Oreochromis niloticus: one gene and its partners. The protein of the gene in region 2 purifies or fractionates together with the protein of the main gene of each other region. This does not show direct contact. Links are inferred from orthologs where the notes say so. Each region holds a gene or a part of one and is shown on either strand. Other genes may lie near its edges.

Region 1 (6,285 bases), on a different chromosome or scaffold from region 2:
ATTTGTTAGTCAAATTAAAAATGAATTAAATTATCGCAGCTTGCCTGATGAGGTTTTGATGGACATGTTTATTTGGGACTTTGAATGTGTACATGAGTACGCTGGAAGCTCTAGTGAGCTCATTCGGCCAGCTAAGGACCGCTGACGGCTCTGAATCCTATCTGCCACCTCCTGCATTGCCTGCAGTGCCTTCGTCAGGGGCTTCCACTCCATCACCTGCAGCGCCACCACCCGCAGCTGCCACGCTGCCGCCTGGTTCCGCAGCTGCCACGCTGCCGCCTGGTTCCGCAGCTGCCACGCCTGGTTCCGCAGCTGCCACGCTGCCGCCTGGTTCCGCAGCTGCCACGCCTGGTTCCGCAGCTGCCACGCTGCCGCCTGGTTCCGCAGCTGCCACGCTGCCACCTGGTTACGCAGCTGCCACGCTGCCGCGCCTGGTTCCGCAGCTGCCATGCTGCCGCACCTGGTCCTGCCTCTGCCGTGCCTGGTCCGACCTTGCCTGGTCCTGCGGATGCTACACCACCGTCTGATCCAGCTCTCCCTGGATCACCTCACCTCTGCCAGCCACTTTCCAGGCCTCTAGCTGGACGTCATCACCGTCAAGGGCGGCCCCTGAACGAGGTCGCCGCCGCCGCCACTGTCTCCCGCGCGGTCGGCCTCCGGACCTGCTCTGTCGCCACCGCCACTGCGTCCTGCGCGGTCAGCCTCTGGACCTGCTCTGTCGCCGCCGCCACTGCCTCCTGCTCTGTCGCCGCCGCCGCCACTGCCTCCCGCGCGGTCGGCCTCCGGACCTGCTCTGTCGCCGCCGCCGCCACTGCCTCCCGCGCGGTCGGCCTCCAGACCTGCTCTGTCGCCGCCGCCGCCACTGCCTCCCGCGCAGTCGGCCTCCGGACCTGCTCTGTCGCTACCGCCACTGCGTCCCGCGCGGTCAGCCTCTGGACCTGCTCTGTCGCCGCTGCCACTGCCTCCTGCTCTGTCGCTGCCGCCATTGCCTCCCGCGCGGTTGGCCTCCAGACCTGCTCTGTCGCCGCCGCCACTGCCTCCCGCGCGGTCGGCCTCTGGACCTGCCTCGTCGCCGCCGCAGCCTTCCCCGCGGTTGGCCTCCGGACCTGCTCTGTCGCCGCCGCCACTGCCTCCCGCGCGGTCGGCCTCCGGACCTGCTCTGTCGCCGCCGCCGCCACTGCCTCCCGCGTAGTCGGCCTCCGGACCTGCTCTGTCGCTGCCGCCACTGCCTCCCGCGCGGTCGGCCTCCGGACCTGCTCTTTGGCTCATGCTCCTGTTTAGAATTCCTCTTCCAGTGTTTCAGTCCTTAGTTCATCTGTCCAAAGTTTTGTTTTGTTTTTCCCAGCAATAAAGCTGCGCTTTGAGTTTAAAGTTCCGTCTCCAAGAGTCCTGCATTTTGGGTCCTTTTTCCTGCCTGCCTGCCTGCCACACAGCCAACCATGACACTAATTGTACTGTCATAAACTTTAACATGCTAGCTGAAGCCCGTATAGTCTGAGTGTCAAAATTCGTCTGTGTGCCAGGCAGGATGTGGACACAAACGCACAACTTGAGACAGAACATCAGCTCAAAGGACAGCTTTAATGCTCAACTTTCAGAAAGACAAAAAACAAGGAGTTCATCAGGAGCAAACAATAACAAAAACTAGAAATCTCAGGGAAACGTGAAATAAGGAAAAACACAACCATCCAGGGAGGGCATGACAAAGGGGAGACTGACACAATATAAACACATCAGGTAACAGGAAACACAACTGCATCTAATGAGGAAAAGAAGACAGGGAAGGTAAAACGAAATACCAAACGCACAAGACAAAGGTTGCCAAAATGAAACAGGAAATAACTAAAATCGGGTAACATCACAGGCAGAGGCTTGACAACACACAGGGAACAGCGGGGCCCGTGGTAAACTGAAGTAACAGTAACTGAAACAAAAGCACAAAGCAGGAAAAACAACGACTGAGAAACAACCTGACGATGACGAAACAGAGAACATCCTTCTGAATTCACATGACTGCTTCAGTAAGGGTGAACTTTCTTTTTCCCCTGACTGCATATTAGATCATGGACTCATACCTATTGATTCATTCACATGTAAACCACTTTACTGTTGCAGCTAGCGATTATTTGAATAACTGAATTGAACTGGTCAAATTGCCCCCAATTTTCTATGTTATGATCCGGAGCAAGGACTCGGGTGGTGCTGCCGAGCTCAGCAGCTGGGCAAGAAGGTGGACAGCGGATGGCATAAGCTGGCTTGTGACAGGACTGAAATGTCAACTCAGGTAGAGGATGAGGATGATAAGGTAGGTAGGAAAGGACGAGGACGAGGTAGTAAGTGGGGAGAGGATGAAAATTTGGTTGGAATGCCAAATTAGAAACGGGCGATAGCAGAAGTTCAGATGAAGGGAGTGCTGTAGTTCGGAAGACGATAGTAAGAGAGGAATTCAAAATAATACTGAAGTTTAGGAAGGAGGATGAGAACATGCAGTTAAGTCCAAGTGCAGTATCGAGGGAACTGAAAAAGAAGATAGGGGATGTCCAACAAGCAAGAATCCTAAGAGACAGGAACTTGTTGATAGCACGTAAGAGGGAGGAGGAAAAAAATAATAATGCGTATTGAGAACATATGTATAAAGATGTAGTAGAAAGGATGCCTGAAGGAGAGAATAAAACAACAAGAGGGTCATAACAGGGATTCCGGTGGATGAGAATCCTGAAAAACTAAAACGGAGCATTCAAGGTCTGGAAGTGAGTCGAGTTAAAAGACTATTAAGAACAGTCAATGGGGAAAGAGTTGATAGCTTGTCAGTGATGTTTAAGTTTCAAGGTCCTACCCTTCCAGAAAAAGTCAAAATAGGATGCATGTGTTTTACAGATAGGCCATATATCCCTCCCTCTCTAGATGCTACAAAGGTCAGAGATATGGGCATATAGCAGCAGTATGCAGAGGACAGCAAGGTGTCCCTAGGTGTGGGGACAACCATAGGTATGACATAGTTGGTCAGTAGCCAATGGTCTGCTATTAATCACTGCCATGACTTCATACAGGAATGTCCTTAGAGAGGAGCTGTCAAGTTGTTTGGCTCATTGTTCAAGAACTGATGTGAGTACACTTTGCGAATGCGAATTTGTCTTTCCCAGACACCACTCATATGACTACGTGCTGGGGTGTTGATGAGAAACTCGCGGTCCAGTTTTCAAAGTTTTGCTTGATGTATTTCTTTAAATTCTTCAGTAAATCATTGCTTGTGCCGACATAGTTTGTGCCTTGATTGCATCTTATCCGGAGAACTGTACCTCTGATGGCTATGAATGCACGTAAGGAGTTGATGAAGGAATCTGGAGAGAAATCGTCAAGCATCTCGAGATGCACTGCTCTGGAGCACATGCAGGTGATTAGCAAGCCATAACGCTTTAAGGCAGTGTTGGAAAATAATGGTTGCCACACAAAATATTGATATTTTGGGGACAGTTTGGACATTTTCACCTAGGTGTGTACTCACTTTTGTTGCCAGCAGTTCAGATGTTAATGGCTGTATGTTGAGTTATTTTGAGGTGACAGCAAATTTACACTGTTATACAAGCTGTACACTGACTACTTCACATTGCATCAGTGTGTCATATCTTCAATTTTTTCCCATGAAAAGATCACCCCACAATGGAAACAATTAAACCTTGTTGGCAGAAGGAGGTAAAGGAGTCAAAGAGCTTTGGATGGACAGCAACCTGGAAAACAATAGAAATCCAAATAGATCAAATTAATATTAGGCTGCTAAAGGAGATCAAGTTTAAATATCAGTATTAGCAACGCTGAAATGAAGAGCACAATAAAACAGATAATGTGGGAAATAGGGCAAAAAGCTGTGGGAGGAGGAGAGGACAGGGAGATGGTTTTATTCTATTCAAAGGAAAACAAGAAACATGAGAAGCACAGGGAGGACCAGGAGAGAGGAGACAATAATATCTTGATTCAGATCTGGCCACACTGGATTAAACAGTACGCTATTCATTATAGGGCAACATCAAACAGGGAAATGTAATCGCCGTGGAATAAATTAAACCAAAATCAAAATTACAGGAAGAAAGAACACAACTGATTCAAAATCTGGGGGGATTAAGCTAGATATAAAGGATTTATTGCAAAGGAATTCTAGATGTGAAAGTTTTATGGCTTTATTTCAGTTTCTAAAACAAACTCATTTGTGTGAAAGGATATGAGGACATATATATATCCTGTAGTATTTATTTATTGTATTTATTTTCCGATTATTTGATATGAGCGAATTCCGGTCCACACTTGTGGACAGTTGGTGGCGGTAATGTACCACATCGTTGTTTGCCAACCGCCAAAAACGACAAAGAAGAAGAAAAACCAGCTGCAGCAGCAGAAGAAGAAGAAAAAGAAAGAGAAGCGCTTTACTTACGTAAACCTAAGATGGCTAAACATCATCCAGATTTGATCTTCTGTCGAAAACAAGCTGGTGTTGGTAAGTTTGGACTCATTTTACGTTTCAGTATTCGGCACAGTGGATTTTGCTGCAGCCGGAAGTCCCTTGTTGTTGTTTCGTAGGTCATAGCGTTAGCATCCATGCTAACATGGCGTGGATTTCATTGAAAATGTGTTAGCCTGGAAGTGTTTGCAGGTCTGTGGGCTCTGGTGGCTAGAAGGGTATCGTAACTAGAAGAAAGTGGGGTTTGTTTTTTGTGTGAATTCCTGTCACATTGACTCACTTTGTTTTGTTTCTATCCCGCAGCTATCGGGAGACTCTGTGAGAAATGTAAGTGTTTTTATCTGTGAGTAATATCTGGAACAACAAGCGGCATGTGTTTTAAACTAGTGTTAAGGTCTGTTTATGTCATATTTTTGTTTCATTTATTTAACTACAAGTTTAATCAGCTAATTTTATTTTTATAACCACGTTCATAACAATCAGGATTTAATCTGTGTGTGTTTTTAATTTATTACACCAGTAATATTTACTTACCCTGTGTTTCTTTCAAATCTCTAAAACTACAGACTTTTAAATCCCTGCTTTTGAAAATAAGCCAGAGTATAGATGTTAATCTCTAGTTTTAATCATTAATTTTATTGCTGTTGTTTTATTTGTACACTCTACAGTCAACATAGTCACTATATCTGTAAATTGTTATTGTTATTGTCTATTTAGTCCAAAAGAAAACAAAATACACAAACAACTCTAAACTCAAATTCCTCCAGTATAAGTTTAAACCTTTCTTCTTCCTCTCTTCTCTGTCCAGGTGATGGAAAGTGTGTCATCTGTGATTCCTACGTGAGACCGTGCACACTGGTGCGTATTTGCGATGAGTGTAACTACGGCTCCTATCAGGGGCGCTGCGTCATATGTGGAGGGCCTGGTGTGTCTGACGCCTACTACTGCAAAGAATGCACCATCCAGGAGAAAGATGTGAGTTTCCCGCTCCTCTCTTCACTTTGACACTGGATACTGAAGCAGCAAAATATCCAAGAGACTTGTTCTTTAAGATAAAAAATTTCTTTCTCTCTCTCCAGCGAGATGGATGTCCTAAGATTGTAAACCTGGGCAGCTCCAAAACAGATCTGTTCTATGAACGAAAGAAGTACGGCTTCAAGAAGAGGTGAACACGACCACGACGACCCAGTGCAACGTTTAGTCTTTCAGATTTTCTTTAAAACTCACAAAAAAACCTTTGTTTGATTTGTCAATAAAACTCAATTTTATACTTTTTTTCTATGACTGCTTTGTTGGTGTTCAAGATTTTTAAATAATCAGTGAACACGTCATAAAAATGGGGAAATGAAGAGGTGTCACTGGAAAGGATTTTTTTTAAATTAAAGCTCACTAAACAACTCTGAGCTTTTGATTCCATTTTGATGTGAAGTCTGTCTTGTTACTTGTTGAGGTTTTTCCTCTTAACAAAATCTGCTCAGGACGTTTTCCCTCTTAACATCAGCAGTGAGTCAGTGGCAGTGTTTGCTAAATCTCAGTGTCTTCGTTCTCTTCTCTTCTCTTAGCTTCTTCTTCCAGCTGGCAATGCATGATGCTTTTTATACACAAAGACCTGAGCTGTTACCATTAATGGTATAAATACTCCCACTTTCTGTGGACTGCTGAACACAGGGGCAAGAGCCAAAATGAAATAACATTTTCAGTGTAAAAAATGTCAGGATCTGTTTTTAGTAATGATTTAAAAAGGTACAGATGGGTGGCGAGTAAAAGAAACCCCCTTTAACCCTTGACCTCTTTCAGTGAGGGGCTTCAGTCTCTCTCTTATATTGTGGTTT
Region 2 (7,097 bases):
TCGTCACTCATCCAAGTGATTTCTTCAGTCTCAGCTGACTGCAGGTTTCCCCAACCTTATAAACAGTACATTTGCATAATGACTGAAACCAGCCCACTGAAGGAACAATGGGCTGGGAGTGACGAAACGTTTCCCCCACAAAACGCTATGTCCAGATGAACAGAATCAACTTTTGGAGATTTACTTTCCTGGATGATTGAGAATGCATCAAGAAGCCAAAGTATTTGTTTTGTTAGTGCGGTATTCAAACGGTACATTTCCTTGTGATTTGAGTAGTCATCCTGCAAGGGGCAGAATATTTAAATAAGTCACACAAATGTGACCAACAAAGTCTGTTGCACGAAATCTAATACCTAAAAAAATCATATCTTGCGCCTGTTGTGGCTGTGATAGCTGCTAGAAGAAGTGTTGTTTTTAGAAGAGCGAGGTATCATCAGAACCAGTGTGTAATGGCCACATGGATGCATGGATGCTCAAAGCTGTGAGCACAGTGTCAAAACTCTGGCTTTGTCCGAAAGCTCTTCTTCTTCTTTTTTTTTCTTTTTTTTTAGCAAACATTAAAGTAATTTTCATTTGAACATTTAATCCAACAACCAAATAAGTGTGTGCAGCTGTGCTCATGCATGAATGAGTTAGTCTGTGAGCACAGTTATAGGCCCATGTGGTTCTATCTGTTGACTATTCTTGACTTCACTATTGGTGTAGAACCTAACGAAACGGAGACATCTCCCTTTGCAGCATTTTCTACAAGTTCCTGACACACACACACACACACACACACACACACACACACACACACGTACATATATCATTTGCAAACCCACTATTACTTACCCTTTATGTATGGCTCTTAACTGATAACCATGACCTCGTAGCTGTTTCTCACATCAATTTCTGGGGTCCACTCTCTTACTGTCAGTCAAGTTCATCATCCTTCCTGAGGGAATGAGCTGAACTGTTCAATCACAATCTTTCCCTCTATGAAACATTATTGTTCCCATTACCTGCAAGTTAGTACAACTTTGTGTTCCAATGGTCAGCTTGGTATTAAATGCAACAACTGCCTGGTAACAAGATAGTGATTTGAATGCAGTGTTGTGGAGCAGGGAAGCACCTAAAAACCTAAAACAAGAAGTCCCAATGACTATACTAAAAATCAGTAATTTTTAGTATATAAATCTCAAAAATCAGTAGACAGATTGGGGGAGCGTGACAGAGAAAGTGGTTATCCTAACAACATAATTCAATGTAGGTTAAAAAGCTTAAAGAATACTTTATGTCCTGTAGATTCTTCATAAATCTGACCCTAAATGTCCCTTTTCTTTACAATTCCAACCTTATTTTTACATGCTGTTCTCTTTTAAATTAAATGAATAAAACATCAGGATTAAAACGCCTTGTGGAGAATATAGATGCGAATTTTGTAGTCCATCTTCTGCATGTCGTAGTTTCAACACAGCGAATGTCCAGCGTGACTCAGAACATAAGATCGTTCCAATTCTCTTTTTTCTTCTAGCACCTATCCAGTGATCCTGAACACCGTTACAGGTTAGGAAAATGAGGGCTTTGGAGCGTGCTGTCACGGGGGTGGGCGTGGAAAGGATTTTGGCCTGATCCGCCATTTTCTGGGTCAAAACAAAGCGCAAGCGAAAAAAAGGAGCGAAGGCACACACAACAGCCATGGTTCGTACTTGCTGTGTGGTCGGCTGCAATCTTCGATCGCACGACCGGCAAGAGAATAAGGTTGAAAATGGTTTATCTTTTCATTCTTTCCCAACCTGGAAGCAACATGAGGCAGCTCGTGTATCGATGTTACCAAACGAAGACGTCTAGCCTGGATAGCAGCTGTGAGAGGAGCTGATATCCAGCTCTCTTCCATCTCCAAATATCTGTTGGTGCTCCACACATTTTCATTCCAGTAAGTTCTAAATATGTTCATATCACTCTTTATAGCCTATTAGTTTTATTTTCGATGAGCTCTGAGGTCATAGCAAATTAGAACAAACATCCTACTGAGTGATTTTGCAGAACTGTCTTCTATTTATAGAGTTTCTAATTATTTGGCATTATTACAGCAAACCAGCCTATGAAATGGATGAAACACATCGTGACTGGGTTCCAGCGCTACATAAGGGACCTGCTTCAAACACACCACCAATCAGATTACTTCTTCCATGTGAGGCTGAAGAGGTGACCCTTCAGGATAAGATGGTGAAGGTTTGCTGCGTTTGGTGAACAGTGTGGTAGTAAAACCAGGGAAAAATGAAACTTGCTCCTGTTAAATATTCTTAAGTCTTGTGCTGTATAAATAGGGGTAATTTTTCAGAAGATACAGTAAATTAAGTAGTGGGTGATATCATGTAAACACTGTCATGATTTTGTGTAAACATTTTGTCATTTATAAACTATAAATGTCATGGATTCTACATTGTAACTGATGTGATGTTCTACAAAATGGTTTTAATTAAAAAAAATTAAAAAAAGAGGCAAAAATTAGTTTGTTTCTTTATTCAACTTTTGAACAGTGGTACTCAGTCAGTACATATTCAGTAAATGCAAATTATTTACATGGCAGTGCACTACAGGCATAAATCTAGACCCCTAAATAAAACATTATGTGTCATTCCCACGACCCACAGCTTTACTGTGTTCCAGCAAAGTATCCAATAGCAGTGACAACTCCTCCACAGTAGCAGGTGGGATTTTTCTTTTTTGAGGACGGCTCCTTTTACCTTTCACTACAGATGGTCTGTTTATGTTTTGATCAAGAGCCTTTTTTTGGGCAGCTGAAGAGGAGAAGTCTATCTTATGGCCAACCTCTGGCTGTATCTTGGTCATATTACCAGGCAAAACCCAGTATGCAGGTTCATCTGTAACAGTCCTTGTGCCACAGATCCGCACTGTTGCTTCTACATTAAACAGAAGAGCAGTGACATGGGTGCAGGTCTCCGCAACTCCGGCCATACAGGTGCAGTGGGCGGCTTCAACCTTCCCTGTGATGCTCACAGTGACCCATGGCTGCAATGCTGGTTCATTCAGTCTCTGAGAGTGCAGCACCTGAAACACACACAAAGTTCATTTAAAGACAAGAACTATGAGCCAAGGCCGACACAAATGTGTTTTATTTACTTTATCATAAATGTAACAAAGTGTTTAGAAAGTTAGCACATACATGTAATTTTTCATTTTTTTTATGCATCCATCTATAAAACGCTGCATTTTATATTCTAAATCTGCCTGTTCTCTGTCAGAAACCTGCCTGCAGAAAATGAACCTAAAGGATGTAATGCAAGGATGTCATCACTTTAGAGATGGAGAAAGCATAAAGTGACAATTATGAATCACTTAATATGATAAGGAGATTCTGCAGGTCATTAATCAATGTATAAAACTAAAGATGTATTTTTAGTGACACAGGATACAAATATGGAAGCAAGATGTATAATTAGAATTATTTATAACAAATATGAATAAATTCTTGCAATTTCTTTAACCATAAAGAATAACTAAATCCTTCAGGACAACGTCACATCAATGCACTGAACTCACTGTATTATCCCTCTAACAGCCTCCACATGTTCTCACTGTAATTTCCCCTCATGAATGAATTTATGCTGCACTAATCTGAATGTTCGGAGGGAAATCAAACGCATTTCACTCGCAGTACTCGAGCAGACTTACCTTTGTTTGAATGACGACTTGTACGCGCTGACTCCACAGACAAGGTATGAAAATATGTCAGGCTACGTCAATAGCGGTTGGTCTTCAGGGTTTCTACTCCACGGCCGTATTTCATACGGGTCCACATTTCCAGTGCACGCGATTTCTGCAGGTACCGTCGCTTCGCCTCTGGACGCAATCGGTCTCCATACAGTCCATTCTCTTTTGAGCTGTTTTTAAGCATTTTTCTTGTCGTCGTCGTTCCAACACAGTGTGTTTGTTTGGATTCGTAGACCCGAAAATGGCGCCGCGCTCCCACGATGCATTGCGGCGTGACGTCAACTCCAAAGCTTGCGTTCAATCGGAAATCGGAAGTACGTCACCAATCAGCTTCCGTTGCCATTTTGACGAGAAGAGCCGAGAGCCTGGTGGGACTGCGTGTTTATCGTTCGTAGGTTTAATTTGAACAAAACAACCCGTCACAATGGCTATGCAAGCAGCAAAACGCGCTAATGTAAGTGTGAAAAAGTGGGACTGTGAATTTTGGGATAAATAGAGCTTCAAAAACATTAGCTCAGTTAGCTTCAAAGCTATCCTTAGCGTGTGTTAGCGTACGGTTAGCCGCTTAGCACGTTAGCAAAATGAAAACAACAACACTGTATAGTAACTTTTCTTGTTGGTGCTTTTTATGATGTCGCTCTTTAGCACACAGTTAAAGTCATCTTCTGTCTGAGATGATTGATGCTGTTCGGGCTGTGGTCGTTGGTTTAAATATCTGAGTTATATATGTAAGGGCAGCAGGGGGTTGACGGGGCCGGTGGGTAAAATAAAATAGGAAGCCATGAAGTTTGTCTGAAAATAAAACAGTTTACCACTGATTTAACCTAACTCCGACAAAGTTTGAGTTAAATGTCTACAAGCTACGTTTCCTCAGTAGCTTTGTGTTGAATACTCTTTGAATGCTCGTCGCTAGTTGTAACCTCAACAGTGTTTATTTACCCGAACTGTTTTATTGTTTTTTGTTTTGTGCTGTAGATCCGATTACCTCCTGAGGTGAACAGAATCCTGTATGTCCGGAATCTTCCTTATAAGATCACAGCAGAGGAAATGTATGATATCTTTGGGAAATATGGACCAATACGACAAATCAGAACGTAAGTGTTTCACTGTAGATTTTCAGAAATAGCAGTTGAAGTGCATGAAGAAGTGTGTGTGTGTGTGTGTTTGTTTGTGTGTGTGTGTGTGTGTGTGTGTGAGAGAGAGAGAGAGTGATGCTTTAAAAAAGTCATATTTTGGAGTTGGACTCCACGTTTATCTGTCTTTGTCTATTTTTGATCAATATCTATAAATGTTATTCAAGTCTCTCTATTATTTAAAGTGGACATAAAAACACTACATGTTCCTGCTACTTTAGTATACATTAGCTAACTAGTCACAGAACTGATAACGCCGTAAAAAACAAGTACATTAGTGTGTTCACAGTGAGAATAGACGGACCAAAACCCAAAAAAATAGCAGCCTCAGAGGAAGAGGTGCCATATTTTTTGAAACCCTAATTCCTTCTTTTGCTGTAAAAATGCTTTTTATAAATTAAATGGGGGTTTTATAATTCATTCGTAAAGAAATTACGCTATTTTGCAAAACAAATTGTCCTTCCTCATCTAATAGTTTTGTATTATGGAACACATTATTTGTTCAAAGTCTTATCTAAATTTGAATTTGATGGTAATTTTATTGAGTTAGAGCACTGACCGCAAAAAACCGCAACCTATGACCACCACGACTGAATTTCTGAAGCCTTTCCTCTAAACAGGTCCAGCAGACAGGGTTGCCCCTGTCTGCTGGACTCTTGTATTAGCCTGGAGCTTCTAGCTAAACTTTTTTTTAATATCTCCAGTTAAGATCTTTTCTTAAAGCCATTTGGTTAAAAACTGCTCCATGAAGGAAACTCTCCTTTCCTCCCTTTATCCCCAATCGGGATAAAGGGGGGAAATATTTAGCAAATGTAGCACGCTTTCTTAAAGTTGTGTTTTCAGCATGCAGGCAGTGGGCAAATTTAAGCGAATGTCCCTGGATCTGATGACAGTTCATTCCAGTAAAACCCCCACAACAAGTCAAAAACAGTATAAATCCAAAGATAGTCTGACCATAACCTCAAACAAGTAAATAACGGCTAAAATCACAGTGTTTTTTAAATTCAGTCAGCCTAAGGTTAGTGACGATGAGGTTGCTAAAAGTTCCACTGCTGATGAGAAGAAAGATGGTCCTGACCAGAGCTCTGACTCTGCCAGGGTTCTTCAAGAACATAAAACCCAACCAACCTGTGTGCACACTGTTATTTGCTTTTATGCAGACCTGTCCATGTGATTGTTCAGTGCAATGGCACCAGCTGCACATGCACGGCCCCAGAACTATAAGGTTACTATACTGGCATGTCCCAAAGGTTGTATAATCCCTGTCTTGCAGCGAGAGAGCTCCTGGATGTCCTGGCCAGTAAAGTAATAATTAAAAAAAAAAGTCCACTTTATTCAGCTCAGAGGAGTTATAACACTTAATAAACAAACCACCCTGTTGTCATGTGTATCCAATAATAACACAGAAAATAAGAGAGTGCTAAGAAAACAGGAAAATGCCCCACTGTTACTCACCATCAGGTGTAGGTCTTGTAATGATTTCCTGTGTCTGATGTTTTTTCATAGAGGGAACACGCCTGAAACAAGAGGAACAGCTTATGTCGTATATGAAGACATCTTTGATGCCAAGAACGCCTGTGACCACCTGTCAGGCTTCAATGTCTGCAATCGTTACCTCGTGGTCCTCTACTACAACGCAAACAGAGTACGTATGAGCATTACATCACTGCAGGCACAAAGGTCTTCCGGACCAAATGGTTCTTGGAGGTCCCTGAAAGTAACTCTGTTCCCTCAAGCTACATAGATAGCTTCAAGGCTTCTTAATCTTGCATTTGAGCCGACAGTATGACTGCTGACATGAACTAACAGCCAGCTGGTGATTGACACAGCAAAACATCCAATATGATGGTGATGAGAGCTGTGTCATTGCTTTCCTGATGATAGCAGAGCTAGAGTGAGAGGAACAGGGTAGCTGTAGCACTACCCCCCTCATTCACTTAAATGCATTTATGCTACATTGAGATGAAGCAGACGTGTTGTTGAGGCTGTAAATACAGCGGGTGAGGCTTTTTTTAACTTTGTTGTAATCCTTTGTTTTCAGTCTTCACTTTTTCAGTGTTTAGATGCCAAAGGCAGAAAATCAAGTGTAATTGTGCTTTAATGAGTCAGTATTTTGTTGTATTTCCTCAGTTACTGATAAACATGTATAAGGTCTTAAAGTTCCCCAAACTATCCCTGCAGAGCAGACACACAAATGAGAACAAAGTGCGCTCACATTTTTATAAAATATGAACAGAATATTCA
Region 3 (7,425 bases), on a different chromosome or scaffold from region 2:
TTGTAATCTTTCAATGAGGAATCTGACAGGTGTGGATTTTTCTCACCCCACCCTGCTGCACCGCCCTTCAGCCCCACACAAAAATCATGCAAAGCTGCAGACTTAAAATATGAAGCTGGAACAATGACGGCCTGGCAGAGAGTCGATATCCGGGTTATTAAATCTGACTGAGGCAAAAATAAAATGTCAGCAGGCGGGCTGAGTCCTCACGGTCACAGCTACGACTAAAAACAGCCACCTGACATGAACCAAGCTGCTGTGGGAACTAAATAAAAATGATATCTATACTTTAGGAAAGAAGTAAAGCAACGCTGACCTAAAATATAAAAACATAGAGGAAACCTCTGTTTGGCCTCCAGTTTGATCAAATCTGTCAGCACAAACCTGCAGAGGAGGGTCTGCTCGTAATCCCCATAATCAGAATAACTCTGACTCATAACACAAAGAGTCAGGATCTAGGTTATCGTGTCCACCAAAGACGAATAAAACCAGCTGGAACAACAAACAAAGACAACAATAATCAAAACTGCACTTTGCTGAGATCTGTCTGACGTCCTGAGGAGGCTTCAGTGATCATAATACACCAAACTGGGACTCAAACATCAAAAACCTCCTGATACTCAGACTGTCCCCGGAATAAAACACAATCAAATGAAACCAGACCACATTTTAACCCTGACTTCAGAGACGGGGACGGCTGTGCTGTAGGTAGGGTAAACCTGGGGCCCCTGAGGGCCTCCCCCCGATCCCTGCAGACTTCTCAAGGTGAGCCCGCGGAAGTTCTCAGGTACACACAGGTGAGGCGATGATGTCAGCCGTGAACATGAACCGTGGTAAACTTAAAGTCACTCACCGCCTGTTCATGGGCCGGACCCGCACAGCCACCCGGACCGACGCCATGGCTCATCCCGCTGCTGTCCGCCGCTCCGCGGAGAGGAGCCGCTTTACGACCGCTATCAGCTAACAGGCGAGCGGATACACGGGGCAAAAGTCGCACAGATAAAAGCGGAGTGCGGAGAATGGTTCAAAGCGCACAGATGGGGGCGGAGGGGGGTCTCGGGAGGAGGTGGATGCTATCAGGGTCCGCTGACACCGAGTCGCTGTCCCGCTGCCTCAGACCTGCGGTCGCTGCTAGCTGTTAGCCTGCTAGCCGGCATCAGGTGGTAAAAAACATCGGGATGTATGGAAGCCAGGAGGGGACACACCTCCGGACGGACGGGAAATGATCCAGCATCCAGCGAGAAGAAATACAGGACAAGAGAGACTTTAATGTACATCTTTTAATAACTGGGGTCATATGTATCTATCTATCTCAGATAGATAGATACATATATATATGTACTCATAAAAAACAGACATTTGAGGTTTTATATGAAACAATAAGTATACAGGAAGCAAAATCTGATTAATAATAATTTTAGAACTAGATTTAGATCCAAACAAAAAATATCTGACAATTTTTTTAATTGACTGAAATTGAAAATGCAAAATTAAGAAAACTTCAGATTTTTTTTGCATTGTTTTTTTATCTGACTGAAAATAAGTGCTGCCCTGGAAGATGGAATAGTTTGGCCTGTGCAGACACCTCTGAGGGCTGTTTTTTTTATTTCTAACAATTTATTTCAGTGAGCACTTGGATGTCTCAGCTTTTGCTTTTCCTGTTGCATGCTGGGGCAGCAGGTTGAGGGTCACTGATGCCAACAGATGCCAATAAACTGATCACAAGGCCAGTGATGTTGTGGGGATGGAGCTGGGCTCCCTTAGGGTGGTGTCTGAGAGCCAGATGTTGTCCAAGATAGGGACAATGTTGGATAATACCTCCCACCCACTCCATGACGTGCTGGCTAGTCACAGGAGCAAGTTCAGTGAGAGACTGAGATTACCAAAAAGCACCAGTGAACGACACAGGAAATCATTCCTGCCTGTGTACAACTTCCTGTACAACTCCTCCATCTAACACACTGTAAAACAGTAAAATAGAATAGATTAGATTAGATTACATAAAACTTTATTAATCCCTCGGGTGGGTTCCTCCGGGAAATTCGGTTTCCAATAGCACTGCACCGACAGAAGTTACAGAATGTGAGCAGAAATATACCATATATACACATATATAAATACAGAGAATACAAAAGGATAAATAGAATAAATAGGAATAAGAATACAAGGGAATTGCACATTTCAAGTATTATGAGTCTATTGCACCGTTGGATATTAACACTTCACTGTGCAATACTTTCGTATTGCACAGTGAAGTGAAGAGGCACTACAGCTTAGTTGTCCCCCCCTCCTTTGTCACCCTGTCTCCCCTCCAGAGAGGAGTTAAACAGTCTGATGGCGTGTGGGACAAAGGAGTTTTTAAGTCTGTTGGTTCTTATCTTTGGAAGAAGCAACCTGTCACTGAACAGACTCTTCTGGTTGTTTATGGCCGTGTGCAGAGGATGCCCAGCATTGTCCATAATGTCCAGCAGTTTTTTTAGTGTCCTTTTCTCTGCCACTGACACCAGAGTGTCCAGCTTCATGCCGACCACAGAGCCAGCCTTCCTGATCAGTTTTTCCAGCCTGGATGATCCTTCTTTGCTGTGCTGCTCCCCCAGCACACCACAGCATAGAAAAGTACTCCTGCAACCACTGACTGGTAAAACATCCTCAGGGGCTTCCTGCAGATGTTAAAAGACCTCAGCCTCCTGAGGAAGTACAGTCGGCTTTGGCCTTTTTTATACAGGTGCTCTGTGTTGCATGACCAGTCCAGTTTGTTGTCCACCCACAGCCCGAGGTACTTGAAATAGAAAATGTTCACAGGTTAGAGTCAAATGTCAACCATATATATTCCACCCCTCTAATATTCTCACCTCTGTAATATTCTTGATATCTAAATTGAGCTATTTGTATACATTAGTGCTATTTCTTATATAATGCAGTGAATATGGGGCTGCATTACATCCTGCAACACCTCGACCGCCCGGGAACTTATGCCAGGGTCCTGTTTGTGGACTTTAGTTCGGCTTTTAACACCATCGTGCCTGAACTTCTCTCTTCCAAACTCTCCCAGCTCAGCGTGTCACCAGCTACCTGTCAGTGGATCACCAGCTTCCTGACAGACAGAAAGCAACAAGTGAGGCTGGGGGAGATCACCTCTGAAACTCGGTCCCTCAGTATTGGTGCCCCTCAAGGATGTGTCCTCTCACCACTACTGTTCTCCCTCTACACTAATGCCTGCACCTCCAAGAACTCGGCTGTTAAACTCCTAAAGTTTGCAGATGACACCACCGTCATTGGCCTCATTCAGGATGGTGATGAGTCTGCATACCGACAGGAAGTTGAGCAGCTGGTACTCTGGTGCAGTCAGCACAATCTGGAGCTGAACACTCTTAAAACTGTAGAGATGACAGTGGACTTCAGGAGACATCCCTCAACTCTGCCCCCCCTCACCATATCAGTCAGCCCGGTGTCCACTGTGGAGATTTTCAAGTTCCTGGGTACCACCATCTCCCAGGACCTGAAGTGGGAGACCAACATCAACGCCATCCTCAGAAAGACCCAGCAGAGGATGTACTTCCTGAGACAACTGGGGAAGTACAGTCTTCCACAGGAGCTGCTGATCCAGTTCTACACTGCAGTCATTGAGTCTGTCCTGTGCTCCTCCATCACAGTCTGTTAAGGTGCAGCCACCAAACAGGACAGGAGCAGACTGCAGCGGACTGTACGGGCAGCAGAAAGGATCATCGGCGCCCCCCTGCCCTCCATCCAGGATCTGTACCTCTCAAGAACCAGGAAACGGGCAGGAATCATCACAGACCCCTCACACCCTGGACACAGACTCTTTGACCTGCTGCCCTCTGGCAGACGGTACAGAAGCCACAGGAACACTTTCTTTCCCCTCGCCATCTCCCTCCTAAACAGTTGACCTGTCACACTGCTCCCACTGCCAGACTGCACCTGCTCCTTATGTACATTCTGTAGTATTCATTCCACCTCATTTCATTTCTGTCATCCTGTATTCTATGTATATAAGTTTAGATTGTTTATTTATAGTTGGTTTATACAGCTTTGTGTATGTATATGTATGCATGTTTAATGTATATATAGACACGTGTGTGTGTGTGTGTGTGTGTGTGTGTGTTTTACATTGTTGTACTTGAGAGTCACCATCTACCGGAACCAAATTCCTTGTATGTGTCTGCGCATGGCCAATAAACACGATTCTGATTCTGATTCTGAGTTGTAAACTCTGTAACATGTATTATTTAAATAGTTTAGTCTGTTACTGCAACTGTGACCCACGTAATTTCCTTAGGGATTAATAAAGTATTCTGATTCTGATTTTAGTTTAGATTTAATGAATTGTAATAAGCTCACAGGTAGCTGCAGTTCTCCTCCTGGCCTCCTGGTGGCGGCGGAGGGCAGAGGTCGTTAAAGCTTCAGCCGGCGCCACAGCGGAGTGTTTCCGGAAACTTCATGAGCGGTGTGAGCCGAGAGGAGGTGAGTTCCATATTTATGTTAAAAACGTTTATCCGAGGCTCCTCTCACCGCGGTTTAACAAAGGAGCTGCGCGGGCGGAGGTTAAATCTGTAAAGGTGATTTTTGACGTTAAAGCGACGCCGGAAAAAAACATTTAGTTTAAAGGCTAGCTGGGCTAAGCTAACACATGCTAACATTAGCTGAGTGAGGGAGGTTTCTGGGAACCTTTGAATGAATTCAAGCTGAAGCTTTTGATTTAGCCAAAGCTCCTTAAACAGCGAGTTTTCAAGTGTAACTTAAACGATTTGTTTCTGCTCTGGTTGTGTGAGTTTACCGAGACATTAGCAGGAACGTGGGTAAGCTCGGGTGTTAAACGGGTAAACGAGGCTTAGAGGTGGAGTTGAACACTGAAGAAGCTGAAGCTGCTCTCCTGTTGTCTCCTCAGACTCCACCATGGACATCAGACCGAACCACACCATCTACATCAACAACATCAACGATAAAATCAAGAAGGAAGGTGGGTGCTGTTCCTCTGCATGGCTGACAGCAGCGAGTTTCTTCGGCATTAGAGACTGCTGTGCTGACGATCACAACGCTGACTTCACCTGAATAATCGAATTTTAACAATCAGTGGAAGTTGAAATGTGACTGAAATTAAAGTTGGATTAATTTTCTTTTTGTTTAACTGGGAAAAAGAGACACTTGAGATTTAAATAGCGTGTTTGAAGAGAATAGACGGGGCTCTAGAGTGCGACCAATTTGGTCGCAAATGCGTAAACACAGAGCGGACCGACGCATCAGAATCAGCTTTGTCTTTCTCGGCTTTCTTACCCCACGGCCCGAACACGGACACGCTGTCGGAGCTCAGCGATTCTGATGCGTCGGGTCTGCGCTGTGTTTCCGTCTTATTTGCGCTGATTCTGAGCTGCAGGTTTTGTCTCTCCAACCAAAATTCGCCGAGCCAGCAGCAAAAGAAGCAGCAAACTACGCTTCACATGTGATCAATGTCGTCATGAATTCCCTCTGACTTTTGCTGTTTTGCTTCCACCACGATAAAAATCACACTTCATGCACAGCTCCCTCTCTCTCTCTCTCTCTCTCTCTCTCTGTACATCAAGATCAGTTTCCCGTCTCAAATCTCTGTTTTCTGCATTATTCATTGGCTTATTACCCACCAGTCTACCGTTGTTTACAGCGCTGTCGGCCGCTGTCTTTTTCTTTTCTTTTTCTTTTTTCCACTTAAATGACCTCGGACAAGAAAGCCTAATTTCTGCTGTTCAATACTGAAGAAATTTAAACTTCTTAAAATTATGCAAAATTGCAGAATATTTTTAAGGTTATCTGCTATAAAACGCCAGACCAGGAAAATCTCCTTCATGTTTTTCTGTTTTATTCTCAGTTACTTTGACACAAAGGCATCTGCTGTGATGTTCACATCTCTGATGAAGTCTCATGTGTATCAGTGCTGATAAATGACCAGAATTATGATATTTCTGACTGTCTGAGGCTAAATTGAATCGAATCAGGACTTTGAGAACCGGAATCGAATGGATTATAGAAATCAGTGATGATACCCAGCCCTAGTGAGCAGCCTAGGCCTGACAGAAGTGGATGTAGCTGTGGGGAATAAGAAAAGATGAAAAGAACTATTGATAACTTTTGTGTTAAGTTAAGGACTGATCCGTCTGAAATTCATAGCCAGCTCTGACACGGTGCCATCAATCTTTGAATGCTGAAAAAGCAGCAGTGTATCCAGAAAACACATTATATGCTGCAATAAATGCACTGCCCAAGTGTCCCCTCTCCTCACTGCCTTTCAGCAGCAGGCAGCAGCAAACAGGTCGTCAGAGGAGCCGAGATGATGATTAAGTTTAACATTTTCTACAATATTGACAAAGCACTTTAAGCACAAGTTTGTTAGTTAATAATTTAGAAATGAATATTGTCTGTATGGACTTCCCCCCCAAAGAAAGTGCACATGTAAAACTGCGGTGTTAAGCGATGCGGTTGAAAAATTTGAGTGCGCCTAACTTTTTGGCACAAAGTTAGTCTAGAGCCCTGATAGAAGCAGTAGCTGAATAACAGCCCAACACACAATGGACACATTAAACACTGCAAAGGCTGGAAGAAAAAAAACTAAGCATTAAGTTAATGACGCACTCTGATTATAATCCATCAGACTGCTCCGTGTTTTAATGAGAGAGCTGTGGTATTGATTTAACCGTTAGCTCACACATTGGGCATTTTACCGGCTTTCTTTCCAACAGTTTCAGCAACAGTTGCCTCAAGATGCTTAGACAGGACAGAGTAGCTACGGCCCACTTTACCCTAACTTTGTAATTACATCTTTACAGCTTACCATGGATTCTTTAAGACTGCCTCAAATTCCTTCCTACTACTTACTAAACTTTAATGATATCGTCGCTCTTTTCTACTTTCAGTCTTTATTACGAGTAGTTTCACCTTTCATTGAATAGTCATCTTATCTGCTGCCAGTACACTTATCAGTAACTGTGATTGGTCAGATGCTGCTGGCACCGTCCTGTTCAGAGGAAATCTGGGACAATACCTTAGTAGTAGCGTTGTAGTGCCGGGGTCAGGATAAGTCATCGTCTCTGTGAAAACTTCAGTTCAGCAAACAGAAACCTGAGGAGCAAAGAGCCGAACCTCCCAGAACCCCTGATAGACGGAGGTCTGTAGTGTGTGTGTGTGTGCGTGTGTGTGTGTGTGCGCGCTGTTTGAGTGTAGAGAAATGGAACAAGCGCAGGAAAAACAAAAACAAACATTATGTATGTACTGCTGAGTTTATTGCAGGAGACGAGGAGCCTTTTTTCTGCAGGCTTCACTCTGATCTTTGTTTCAAAACATGTTTTAATCATTTTCCGTATAAAGCTTTTGACAAAAACTGTCAAATGAATTCCTCGTTTTTCAGTTTTCTTCTTATTTCTTTTTTATTTGGTTCAG

The links.
Region 1: the proteins of sf3b6 (region 2) and phf5a purify together in Homo sapiens (affinity purification with mass spectrometry; 4 studies listed by BioGRID and IntAct, with this or other methods). This does not show direct contact. The link is inferred for Oreochromis niloticus from reciprocal best matches to the Homo sapiens genes SF3B6 and PHF5A.
Region 3: the proteins of sf3b6 (region 2) and snrpb2 purify together in Homo sapiens (affinity purification with mass spectrometry; 4 studies listed by BioGRID and IntAct, with this or other methods). This does not show direct contact. The link is inferred for Oreochromis niloticus from reciprocal best matches to the Homo sapiens genes SF3B6 and SNRPB2.

Annotation. Positions count from the first base shown.
Region 1 is NC_031973.2:22,533,112-22,539,396, reverse strand, and holds phf5a (PHD finger-like domain-containing protein 5A), read left to right. Parts: upstream 1-4,332; 5' UTR 4,333-4,437; coding exon 4,438-4,489; intron 4,490-4,756; coding exon 4,757-4,780; intron 4,781-5,261; coding exon 5,262-5,428; intron 5,429-5,532; coding exon 5,533-5,622; 3' UTR 5,623-5,728; downstream 5,729-6,285.
Region 2 is NC_031980.2:1,150,693-1,157,789, reverse strand, and holds the start of sf3b6 (splicing factor 3B subunit 6), read left to right. Parts: upstream 1-4,025; 5' UTR 4,026-4,144; coding exon 4,145-4,174; intron 4,175-4,695; coding exon 4,696-4,814; intron 4,815-6,359; coding exon 6,360-6,498; intron 6,499-7,097.
Region 3 is NC_031971.2:41,376,883-41,384,307, reverse strand, and holds the start of snrpb2 (U2 small nuclear ribonucleoprotein B''), read left to right. Parts: upstream 1-4,368; 5' UTR 4,369-4,482; intron 4,483-4,484; exon of another isoform or gene 4,485-4,577; intron 4,578-4,674; exon of another isoform or gene 4,675-4,817; intron 4,818-4,906; 5' UTR 4,907-4,914; coding exon 4,915-4,978; intron 4,979-7,425. Other genes in the region: kif16ba (kinesin-like protein KIF16B), read right to left, coding at 854-900. UniProt on the Homo sapiens protein: Involved in pre-mRNA splicing as component of the spliceosome. Associated with sn-RNP U2, where it contributes to the binding of stem loop IV of U2 snRNA.